Danio rerio: one gene and its partners. Each later gene encodes a partner of the first gene's protein in a complex. Links are inferred from orthologs where the notes say so. Each region holds a gene or a part of one and is shown in the gene's direction. Other genes may lie near its edges. The genes, in order: nrp1a, plxna4 and plxna2.

What was found.
Region 2: the proteins of nrp1a (region 1) and plxna4 are in contact, whole or in part, in a cryo-EM structure (PDB 7M0R), measured with the Mus musculus proteins. The link is inferred for Danio rerio from reciprocal best matches to the Homo sapiens genes NRP1 and PLXNA4. Residues at the interface, in NP_032763.2 of Mus musculus: Arg80, Tyr84, Asp126, Tyr127, Glu128; in NP_786926.2 of Mus musculus: Glu272, Lys340, Lys343, Lys345, Leu349.
Region 3: the proteins of nrp1a (region 1) and plxna2 are in contact, whole or in part, in a crystal structure (PDB 4GZA), measured with the Mus musculus proteins. The link is inferred for Danio rerio from reciprocal best matches to the Homo sapiens genes NRP1 and PLXNA2. Residues at the interface, in NP_032763.2 of Mus musculus: Glu78, Arg80, Asp81, Lys83, Tyr84, Asp126, Tyr127, Glu128, Thr129; in NP_032908.2 of Mus musculus: Asp273, Leu274, Phe275, Glu306, Lys341, Gly342, Gln343, Lys344, Gln345, His348, Pro350.

Annotation. Positions count from the first base shown.
Region 1 is NC_133199.1:1,384,594-1,388,872, reverse strand, and holds the start of nrp1a (neuropilin-1a isoform 1 precursor), read left to right. Parts: upstream 1-1,332; 5' UTR 1,333-1,714; coding exon 1,715-1,781; intron 1,782-4,001; coding exon 4,002-4,176; intron 4,177-4,279. UniProt on the Homo sapiens protein: Cell-surface receptor involved in the development of the cardiovascular system, in angiogenesis, in the formation of certain neuronal circuits and in organogenesis outside the nervous system. Mediates the chemorepulsant activity of semaphorins.
Region 2 is NC_133179.1:15,828,311-15,831,962, reverse strand, and holds part of plxna4 (plexin-A4), read left to right. Parts: intron 1-339; coding exon 340-579; intron 580-667; coding exon 668-814; intron 815-1,273; coding exon 1,274-1,508; intron 1,509-1,649; coding exon 1,650-1,792; intron 1,793-2,986; coding exon 2,987-3,255; intron 3,256-3,652. UniProt on the Homo sapiens protein: Coreceptor for SEMA3A. Necessary for signaling by class 3 semaphorins and subsequent remodeling of the cytoskeleton. Plays a role in axon guidance in the developing nervous system. Class 3 semaphorins bind to a complex composed of a neuropilin and a plexin.
Region 3 is NC_133198.1:36,290,603-36,294,730, reverse strand, and holds the start of plxna2 (plexin-A2), read left to right. Parts: upstream 1-1,180; 5' UTR 1,181-1,413; exon of another isoform or gene 1,414-1,512; intron 1,513-3,851; exon of another isoform or gene 3,852-3,874; 5' UTR 3,875-3,946; intron 3,947-4,128. UniProt on the Homo sapiens protein: Coreceptor for SEMA3A and SEMA6A. Necessary for signaling by SEMA6A and class 3 semaphorins and subsequent remodeling of the cytoskeleton. Plays a role in axon guidance, invasive growth and cell migration.

The DNA of each region.
Region 1 (4,279 bases):
AAGTCTATTAAACTTACATGAGACCTTTTTTAATTCAATGTCTGGCTTGATTTGACCTCATGCAACATTGGATGACAGCAAACCCAGCATTTTAATAGTGTGAGCTATGATTTTAACCCTCTGATTGTTTTATATTAATCTGCATGCTTTGTTTTTTTTTCTGTGGAGAGAGGATAGAGTGAGCTGTAGGCGGCATTTTTGGCCGGGGCAGCCTCGCGGAACAGGGCGTGAGATATGGATCATGGAGTCCGCGGTGATCGCAACTTCTCCCGGATTCCTGCGGAATGAAGCCCGCTGTCCGCCTTTCCTCCGGTGCTTTAATATCCACTGCATGAGCAAGTGCGCGGTCATTACTGCAAAATATTAGGCTGACTCTGTACTGCAGGACCCTGTGTTTGTTTCCTCGCGCTGACTGCTTGGTTTAGCGTAAATGACGGATACAATGAGAGTTGCTGAACGCTGAGTGCTGTTCGGAGACGCTGATGTTTATGGATTTGACTGGAGATAACTGGGCGATCGCGGTCACCGGATCGTACTGCATTACTGCTGGATGTAACGGGGGTGACAGCTTGTAGGCAAGTGCTGATTGTTTGTCTGAGCAGGAAGGACTCGGTTGAAGTGACAGGCTTAGTCCGTTTAGCATGAAGAAATATCGATGCGATCAACTTATGTGGAGTCTCACTGCTGCAGTTTGTATTTGTGCACACACTGCAGTGTTAAACATACAAGATTGCAACAGATTTTAATCTTATATATCTTTAAAATGCAGAATGCCTGTCATATATTCATGTTTCGCTTGATATGCATCATGTTAAAGGAAGTTCGGGAGTAAAACACGCCGTGTTAATGCCAATTGTGGTAACATTGCATGCGTTTGCGTGAACATGCATTGGCAAATAATGTAGATACAATTCAGAAGGTGCACATGCTTCAATCCAGATAGTTGATCTAGTAGTTGTTGCAATCTAGTAGTTGTTGCGTGTATTAAACGTTGATGTTACACCGCAATCCCGACATCAAGAGCACTTCCAGAGCGCGCGAGGGCTGGACGGTGTCTCGCGGAGAGCTCGGGGTCTCTGTGCTCTTTTATACGGGAGGTTGGGCTCCATATAGGTCGGGCTTTTGCATATGTGTAATCAAACCAATGAGAATCCCCTGCGCGTCTGGCACACGGCAGAGCAACAAACTCTAGGAAGAAGAGAAGCGTAATTTAGGGGGTGTATCCCTTGTTTAAGACGCTGTTATGGCAAAGCCAATCGCCAGATGTTTGTGTTCCTCACTCCGATTTTGAGACTAAGCAGAACGCCGGGTTACTATACGCGGAGGCTGAATCTCGTATCCAAGCCGCACTTTTTTAGCCAAAGTCTAGCGATCTCTCTTGTCTTTGCGCACAGGATTACTCGTCTATTTCGCGGAACTGCAACGATTTTTTCCCTTTTCTGTCATTCTTTAACAGGGCGAAGGAAATGGCAAAGGAGAGAGGATCGGGTCTGGGAGAGCGCAGAGGAAACCAGAGCTGAATGGCAGGATGCGAGCGACCTGAAGACGCACAAAACCGCACATTTCTACAGCTCTCAGACCCTTTTGCGCGCTCTTTCGGTTTCCTTCTTTACACGCGAGAGGAATTACCCAAATACGACCATCTGAGGATTGTCTCATCGTTTTTTGCCAAATTTGTGTTATTTTTCCGCACTCCGAACTCCAGGATTCGAGGATGCATTGTGGATTAGTGTTGATCCTCTTTACGGGAATCTTTCTCATCGTCAGTGCTCTCAAAAATGGTGAGTGTCGGCTGAAACTGACGGCTGTCTAATGACTTTTTCTTGGGATTAGATGAGGGGTAAAGCCTGTTAACGAGGGGTTGCGACTTCGGGCTGGTCACCTGCTCTCACCTGCCGCCGCTTTCTGGCTCTGGATGACCAGACAAAACCATTTCACAAATCCGCGCTGAGATCCAGCTCGTATTTATAACACCGTACAACAAAACGCGCGGTGTGATTGTGCCCAAAACATGCGTGTATCTGTAATTAACATAGCTATTATTTACAAAATAGTAAATATTATATTTCATCTCATTCATTTGACTTGCTTTATTACATTATGGTTTCTAAATTACGAAATGAGCCTCTATTGTGCATGCGTTTAGATATTTACAAATATTAGACACTCGTATTTTAATGTGTAGGCGACAGTATAGCCTCTTTTTATATTAATACACATCTGCTACTCAGATGTTAAACATTACAATACGTTTAAATTAGTACTCTTAATAAACATTTATAATATAAAGTGCTACATAAAGTCTTGTTTCTCCAAAGTTTAGGGTTTATGATCGTAATCTTAAGAAAAATATCCACATTAAAGCATTAAATATTCCAGTGAATCGTAATAATGCTTGTGTGACTTTATTTTATGATCTACAATTATACATTTTCATTTAGGTTTGAATGTAAATAGGTGTAATAATGTTATTAACTTGTAAAGTTATGCTATTACTGACTAGGCCATTTGTATTCTTCTTCTTATGTTTCTGTTCCTGTATGTAAATCAGATAAAGTGTGTATCTTAATCACGCCTGTCCAGACTAAAAAATCCTGTGGGATTCTAGCAACATTTTCTCGGGTCACTTTAATGTAGACTTGGATACAAGATAGTCGCCAAACCACTTTAGGCACGTGGAATAAGTCATGCATGTTGTGCACTACATTATTAAACTAAATGAATGATTCAATATACCAAATTTGAGTTTTAAAAAGTTGTTATCGATATTATTTCACATTTTGGATTATCAACTTCCATTTCAAAACATCTAAGGATTACTCATTGAAGTATATATACATTTACTCCTGTTGAAATAATGTTACACTTTACCTAATGTAAAACATCTGGATCGCTTATGTATTCTTAATCTAGAAACTTAAAAATCTTGATCTGTTATTTATTTATTTATTTTTTGCTTGCTCCATTTGTCGACAAATTTGCGTTGAAACTGACAAATTTGTTGTCTGAATATGGACTTGGACACAAGGTAGTCGCCAAAGCACTTTAAGCACATGGAATAAATTATGAGTGTTGACCCAATTTAAGCTTTAAAAAGTTGTTATACATACTAACCACCTATTAAAAACCTCTAAGTATTATTCATTAAAAAAATCTAAATTTAATACATTTATAATCCCTGTGAAATGACCTTTTTAACATGTTACACATTACCCAATGTAATGCATCTGGATAATTTAGTTATCCTTATGTATGCTTAACCTAGAAACTCAAATATCTTGATCTGTTTTTATTGCTTGCATCGTTTGTTGATGAATTTACATTGAAATTGACGAATCTGTGGTCTGAATGTGTTCATTTTTATTCTAACAAACAAAAAAGACAACGTGTTTGTGTGTAAACATCTCCATCAGACCCTGAGCCATGCGCTTACTCTGTAAGTTTGTTTGTTGTTGATGGATATGATGAAATTCAGTGTTGATCCGCTGTGGAAGGGACCAAATAAATGAAATATTTAACAGACAAAGGTCACGCTTCCCTCCCACATAATGACATTAAATGTAGGCGCAAATATCAAGCCTTTATTTAGTGCTTAGAAATGGGTCAGAAATGACTAGAGGAGATTGTATCTCAGAGAGTATTTGGAGAGAAACGGCACAGTCATTCTTATGTCAAACCACAATAGTGCTATTGTATGAGGTGTTACAAAATAAACCATTTAGGCAATGTGATGTTGAACATGCACTGTGGGAAATAGATACTAGAAGAAAATCCAGTGTTAAGAGTGTTTAAAAAGCTGTTTTTATTATTGTATGGCTTCACTTTAGGTTGATAAACAAACATAATCATGTGTTGTAGTGAGACTGATTGAACTGAATAATCTTTCTCTTTTAATTCTCCATCATAAGGAAAATACTCCACGTAAGGAAAAGCATTCAGAAAGCAACATGTTGGTATTTTCTTCCAGCATGCGTGATAATGTGTCTTTTCTGTTCTTTCAGACAAATGTGGAGACAATATCAGGATCACTAGTGCCAATTATCTCACATCGCCCGGCTATCCAGTATCTTACTACCCGTCTCAGAAATGCATATGGGTGATTACAGCTCCAGGACCCAACCAGAGGATTTTGATCAACTTCAACCCACACTTTGACCTGGAAGACCGAGAGTGCAAGTGAGTGTTGAGCGTTCAGTATTTTGTGTGGAGCTGCGCCACCTGCTGGTGCTGATGGAGTATATGCAGAACACTCATCTGGTGGGGCAGAGAGAGAGAGAGA
Region 2 (3,652 bases), on another chromosome or scaffold:
ATGGATTTAACTGAGGAAAGACAGGGTAACAGAGAGATGACAATGTCAACTGCTCTCTCTACAAAGCAAAGATGATGGTAGTAATTCTTTAGTGAGTCACCAGAACGGCAGGTACAGAGTATGGCCTTTTAAAAAGTGCTTGGAATTGTGTAACTTTGAGACAAATAACATCTACATGTACTCCTGCAGCCTCTATTGTAGCAACTCAGGAATGACCAATCAAACCAATCTTAATCTAAAATGTGCATTTATTGTTAATCTAAATCTTAATGTTTTTATTTACTCTAAATTGCACATGGACTGCATATTATTTATTGTACATTCATTTCCCTTTACCAGATATGTCAGGTTTTGAGTCCAACCACTATGCAGTGCATGGCCCCAGAGCTTCCCTACAGTATCAGCAAGCACAAGGATGTTCCAGAAAGACCCGATGAGTTTGGCTTCATCCTGGACAATGTTCAGTCTGTGCTGGCCCTCAACAACACCAACTTTGTATACTACCCAAATCCTGTGTTCGAACCTCTCAGTGTGTCTGGGGTTCAGGAGCTCAAGCCAGGGTCTCCCATCATACTGAAGGTAAACCAAAAGCTCACCAAAATTTGTGCGACATCTCTTTAAATTGTCAGTTTCAGCTATTAGAGATTTTTGTGAATTTTAATTTCAGGGCAGGAACTTCCTACCTCCCACGCCTGGTGGCAATGGGAAGCTCAACTACACTGTTCTGATTGGAGACAAACCTTGTGCATTAACTGTGTCAGATACTCAACTGCTCTGTGAATCACCTAATCTTACTGGACGCCACAAGGTTCTGGTAAGTTGCTGAATGCTGTGGCTCATATCCATTTTTTTTTTTTTTTTTTTTTTTTTTTTTTTGCAGTGAACACATCCTTTAGGGACTGTGTTTATTGTACTTTCTGAGAGGCTGACAGAGAAAAAAAATACCTCCAGAGTAAGAGTTATAAGAGCTGAAAAACCTACTAAACAAGTTTTATGCTTCTCACTGGGAACTCTGGAAGGTTGCCCACTTCACTGCCTGTTTGTTGACAGTCGTAGAACAGTGGCACCATTACAACCATGAACAGAACAGAAAAATCTCCTTCTGCTTATGAACCATTGTTCTTATTATCAGAATGTAACATCAAATAATATTGCATTTCTCCATTGATAAATTTGAATCAGTGAATGATAGCTTAGGTTTAGTAATGCAAGTTTTTGGTACAGCGCTTCATATATTTCATTAAAAAGGTTTACAAAATCTGCTTCATTTTAGGCACGTGTGGGTGGCATTGAGTTTTCTCCAGGTGTGGTCCACATCACCTCTGACAGCCCCCTCAGCAGCACTGCTGTCATCAGCATTGCTGGGGCAGGAGGCCTTCTCATCTTTTTCATCGTCATAGTCTTAATTGCCTACAAGCGCAAGTCCCGTGAGAGTGACCTCACCCTCAAACGCCTGCAGATGCAGATGGACAACCTGGAGTCTAGAGTAGCCCTAGAGTGTAAAGAGGGTAAGTGGTCTCTAGGGGAAGTGGTTTGTCAATTGAGAATATAAGACTTGCTTGAACTTTAAAATTTAATAAGCAATGAAAAATGCTAAATCATTCCTAAACCAAAGCCTATTTGTTCATGGTACTGTGGATTTTTTGCAGCATTCGCTGAGCTGCAAACGGACATTCATGAGTTGACCAGTGATCTGGATGGAGCTGGTATACCATTTCTGGACTATCGCACATATACAATGCGGGTTCTGTTTCCTGGAATCGAGGAGCACCCTGTCCTTAGAGACCTGGAGGTATCCTAACATTTTTTACTGATGTTTTGTGCAATGCTCAATTTGCATTCAAAGAGCCCTTTGCTGAGTTTTTGAGATGTACATGCATATATTTACATATTTCTGTATGCATGTAATTACTGCACATTGTACCTGTGCGAGGAACAGTCACATAATGGCTGCTAAGTATTTTCTTTCTGTTTTTCGGGACTGAAAGACTAACGGCTCAGTGGGGTTGTTGGGAATTAAAGCTGTCACTGTGCTGTTTGTGTTCACCCTCAGTAAACAATAGGCAGCAGCTCTCATTATAATCTACATGCAGTCTTTTTCTCTCTAGCTCACAATTTTTTTTTTAAAGTAATGAGCTGCTCTCTGATTCACAATCAGTCTTTCGTTAATAACAGTAATGACATGTGACACAATTGTTTTGTTTTTTTTCTGAGTGAGGGGAACAGAATTAAAATCTAATGCAGCATACACCATGCTACAGGTTATTTATGCCCTGCAAAGACAGTGATGGACAGTTCTAATTGAATCACACACGTTTCTTCAGCCAGAATACAAACCATACCTTACCTGCTTATTGCAAATGAGCTCTGCTTCTAATCAGCTATATCAATTAAGCCTTAATTGGAATTAACATCCCCTCTCTCTGGAAAAGTTTATAGTAAAATCACAGCTAATGACAGGAGCTGTCTAGAGATTCTGACAGGTATTTAATGGTTATTGATGAGACAGATTGCATCAAATGACACTATGGGGTCTCTGCCTGGTTAAGTGTTTGTCATTTGGAATTCTAGGCATATAATGAATGCATCTTAACCCGGTAAGCAGATGTTATTAGATTCAATTTGAGCTGTTCATCTGCATCCTGATTTGTTTGTCTTTAGGTTTCTTTTTTATTTGTTAAATATATTTGGTCCTCTTCAGTTTAAATGCCTGTGGGTGTTTCATTGGACACTAGCTGGGATTGCCATAGGCTAATTGATAGGGCTGGAAAAAGCTTCCAATACAAATAACCCAAGTTGGAGCCTAAGTGAGCATTCTTAACACGTGACATTGAAGACATTTATTTAGGTCTAAAGATATCTAAAGTCAGCAATGCTAACATTGAATGTATTTATCTGTGAAAAATAAAACGAGACCATTGTGCATTAGGAAAGTTGATGATGTTGGTTTAGATTTGATTGATTGAGTAATTTGTTTTTCCCTCAGGTGCCAGGTTACAGACAGGAGCAGGTGGAGAAGGGGCTAAAACTGTTTGGACAACTTATCAACAACAAGGTTTTCCTGCTGTCTTTCATCCGAACACTGGAGTCTCAGAGAGGCTTCTCCATGCGAGACCGTGGCAATGTCGCCTCCTTGATCATGACCGTTTTGCAAAGTAAACTGGAGTATGCGACCGACGTACTCAAACACCTGTTGTCTGACCTCATTGACAAGAACCTGGAAAGCAAAAACCATCCCAAACTACTGCTAAGAAGGTACTAGACACATTCACATGAAGAGCCATTTCAGTAATCTAGTACTGCAGTCCAGTGGGTTTTACTGATTATAAATGCCCCCCAAGTGAGCGTAATCAACAGAGCACATGTTCTAAATTTTAGGTTCATTTCAATCTGCCTGATTCTAATTATAGTAAACTACATAGATGGGAGCAGATGACCTCTGTGAATTGTCTTTGGTATTAGCACTGTGCAGTACGCTCAATAGGAATAATGGCTCTTGGGGACATTAAAATGCACACTTTCTCTCCCAAACATGAAATGCGCTGACATGCTCATCATTAAATTGTAATTAGAATTAATTAGCTTGAGATCCAATTAACAGTGCACTAAAAACCTACTGAATATAGGGAGATATGTGAAACTCAATTCCCCA
Region 3 (4,128 bases), on another chromosome or scaffold:
CTCTAAAATACTATAAATGTTTCCCAAATTAAAGTATATTGTGTACAAAGGGGCAAAAGGTTTAGATTTTTAAATATTTATAAGGAAAATATTTTTGAGCATTAATCTCAATATCGTATAACTGTGAAATTGTGATATTTTTATCCAAGGTTATCATACCATCAGAATCTTCTACCGGCCCATGCCTATTTGTATGCTGCAGTAATTATAATTTGTTTTTGCGTTCTGGTATTAGCATTTTTCTAAAGTTTTAGTTTCACTATTTGCTTGTTATGAATAATAATTTTACAATGTTATTACATGATGATTTTATGAAGTATTAAAAGCAGAGGTTGTGTTACTGTGTGTTGGAGACCTTAATCTAACAGGCCAATGATATAATAAATCAGTGCAACATTATGAAATAAAATAAATATGTTGCCAAAAATTCTCAGAGGATTCATGTTTTTCTTTATATTTTACCCACTGAAGTCAAGTCAGCTTTGAGTTTATAGTCCATCATAGAATAGACATTGTGTCAGACATTCAACTATTGAGACATGTATGTCATTATCTTGCACGTATCAGAATTTTGTGTTGATTTAATTCAGAAAACGACTTCAGTTTAGATATAATCTAACATGCTAAAGACAGTGACTATTATTATTTATCTCAGGTCAATTCAGTCTTGATTCAGATCAAATCTTGATCTAATCGAATGGCGTCAGTCCATATGCATTAATTCATTTTCTGTTCGGCTTAGCCCCTTTATTAATCCGGGGTCGCCACAGTGTAATAAACCGCCATCTTATCTAGCCTATATTTTAGGCAGCAGATGTCCTTCCAGCCACAACCCAACACTGGGAAACACCCATACACTCTTGCATTCACACACACACACACACACACACACACACACACACACACACACTACGGCCAATTTAGTTCATCCAATTCACCTATAGCGCATGTCTTTGGAGTTGTCGGGAAAACCGGAGGACCTGGAGGAAACCCACATGAACACGGGGAGAACATGCAAACTCCACACAGATATGCCAACTGACCCAGACAGGGCTCAGAGCTCAACTGTCTTGCTGTGAGGCGATTGTGGTACCCTCTGTGACGCCCCTCAGTCCATGTAAAGATTGATAAATTACTTTCTACAAATTAACTATGATTATTCAATGTCAAATCCGCTAGAGAGCGCTGTTATATACGCTACTTTTTGTTTTACATTTTAGAAAACCGTCCTTGAACATGTCCACTTACCATAGTGTTTTTAAAAGCAAATGTAGGAGAAAAGTGCCCTGCAAGCATGTAGTTTTACCTCGAATTTTTTTACATTGCTTTTATTTCGTTTGTGGAATCTCCTTTGCCGGACTCAAACACTAGCTACCAGAAAAAGAGAAGTTGACCATGGAGATGTCAGCTGAGGTAAACATGTTCTATCACTGATCCTGGACACCGTATGCATTTTTTATATTGCGTCTAAGTTGCTTTGGGATTTTTATTTTGAAAGAACTGCTCAAATAGGTCATTTATTAGTTGACAATATGTCCCTGTAAATATCACTAGTGTCAAGACAAGAGGAACAAAAGTTGTTGACGTCGTACTGCCCCCTAGTGTTTATTTGTTTATTTGCAGTTTTTAGCATTTGTTTCCAATGAGCCGGTGTTGCTTAATTTTCTTGGTTGTTTTCGTCCAGAAAAAGAAAAATGAAATCTGTCGTTTTGCTTTACTATCATTTGTTTAAGTTCTGTGAAGATACAAATCAAAAAATTATAATGGTGTATATTTTGCATTAGATTTTTACCAAGCAATCAAAACAACGCTAAATGAAGTTTTATAAAGTTATTTTAGAGAGGAGGACATGATATGATTGATCGCGGCTGGCATCACATTAGTAATCATTGCTAGTCCAATCAAATATCATTGCTAGACCAATCAGAATAATTGTAGCCTTCAATAATTAAGCCCATTCATCCTACCTTCCTCATCTTCGTTTAAGAAGAAACCCCCCATCAACAACAAGTGTTTTTGTCTAAATTTAAAGGGATAATTCACTTAAAAAAAGTCATTTACTCACTCTTGTTTGAGTTTCTTTCTACTGTTCTGCTCAACACTATGAGGTTGACGAACTAAGAAGGCTATAGTGGGTCTCGATGAATGGTAATGCAAGAAAACCTCGGACAAATGATGGCACTATACTCGCTGATGGAAAGTGTGAAGTGATGGGTTATGTACAGTGTACGAGAGTAAAAACCAAGAGTGTTTGTGTGTTTATTTGTTTATTCTTTTATTTATTTATTTAACTAACCAAAGAGTGTTTATTTATTTATTTATTTGTTTGTTTACTTAACCAAACAGTGGTTTTCATCTATTTACTTATTTTTTTGTTTATTTCATTTATTTATTTATTTATTTATTTAAAGAGTGATTTATATTTATTTATTTTTATGCATTCATTTATTCATTACACTTACTTAACCAAAAAGTGTTTTTTATTTTATTAATTTATTATTTTTATTTACTTATATTTATTTATTTACTTAATTAACCAAACAGTGGTTTTCATTTATTGACTTTTTTTGTTTTGTTAAATTCGTTTATTTATTTGTCCAAAGATTGGGTTTCATTTATTTACAGTGCACGAGAGTGAAAACCAGGTTAACGGATGAGTGCGTGAGCGAGTCAGCATGGGCTCTATGCACAACTAGAGTTTTAAAACCAATGATAAACTTCCGGTGAAAGCTTAATATGACTATTTTTAATTTCACAAGGTTGTTTTTACAGCATTAATACATTCAGTTGAATAGACTTTATCATTAGTTTAGTTGTTCAATTGTAAAACGAGACAAAAGACTGTTGTAACCCCTAGCGCCGTCAGTAGCAACAGGCTAGCGCAGAAATTCCATTGAAAACACTGGAGTAAAATAAACTCTCATATTTTAAAGACATGGCGGGGGGGAAATGGAATTTAATACAGTGCTACTTGTCTGATCTGAGACCCACTTCATACATTTTTAAAGAAATCAGATCCTAAACGTGACAGTTTTGCAATAGAAAGACTGACACTTTACTGGCTGAAGTCCATGTGCATATAACCCATTTGTGACTTGTATAATAGTGTGGTTGTACACATATTGTTTGTTTGTTTGCTGATTATTTTGTTCTTTTATTTGTGGTTATTTAGTTACTTTGCTGGGGCTTTGGGTTATTTTGGTTTTCACTCTTGTACACCTTAAAAAACAAAACAAAAAACATCACTTTACACTTTCCATTAGCGAGTACAGTGCCATCAATTTCCTGAGTTTTTCTCGCATAACCATCCATCGAGAACCCACTACAAGTCTTCCTGGTTCGTCAGCCTCACAAACACTGAAGATGATATTATGAAGAATGTTGGAAAGCAGATATCGACTTAGAATTGCTTTATTCCTACTACGGGTGTCAATGACTTCCAACATTCCTCAAAATAACTTCTTACCCAAAATAACTTTTGGGTTTTTAAAAAAGCAAGAAATTCATAAATGTTTGAAACAACTTGAGAATGAATTGAAACGATGAGGAAATGTTTACATTTGGGTGAACCATCCTTTAAAGGTACTAAAATAGGTTAATATTTCAACTTATTTTTGTAAGTTGTACAACCTCATTTACAGTAAGTCAGTTTAAACTTAATGCACGTTTAATTTGAGTACTTAATGTGCTGTTAATTTAGATTCTGGTCAATGTTCAATTCACATTTTCAGTCAACTCTCAGCACAGTTTGTCTAGAAATGGACTAGAAATTATTATTATTATTATTATTATTATTTTACATAGCTGAGACCTATTTTTTCTTAACCAAAATTACAAATGATTAAAAACAGACCTTTGATGAATGGCTCCACAGACAGAGCCTCTGGAGGACGACTGGATTCTGTGTTGAGGAGCAGCAGGTGTAGGAATGCCTGGCCCAACAGTGGTGAGATCTGCTTTCTGCATGAGTAGATTTATTAGGCCATTACTTGGACATCATGGGGTATAACACACACACACACACACACACACCTGGTTGTTCATCTGCCTGTGGCTCAGCGGTGCAGTAGCTCAGTTGGTTTGTACAAGGATCCTGCTGTTTCAGGCTTTAATTGGGAGCGTTTGCAG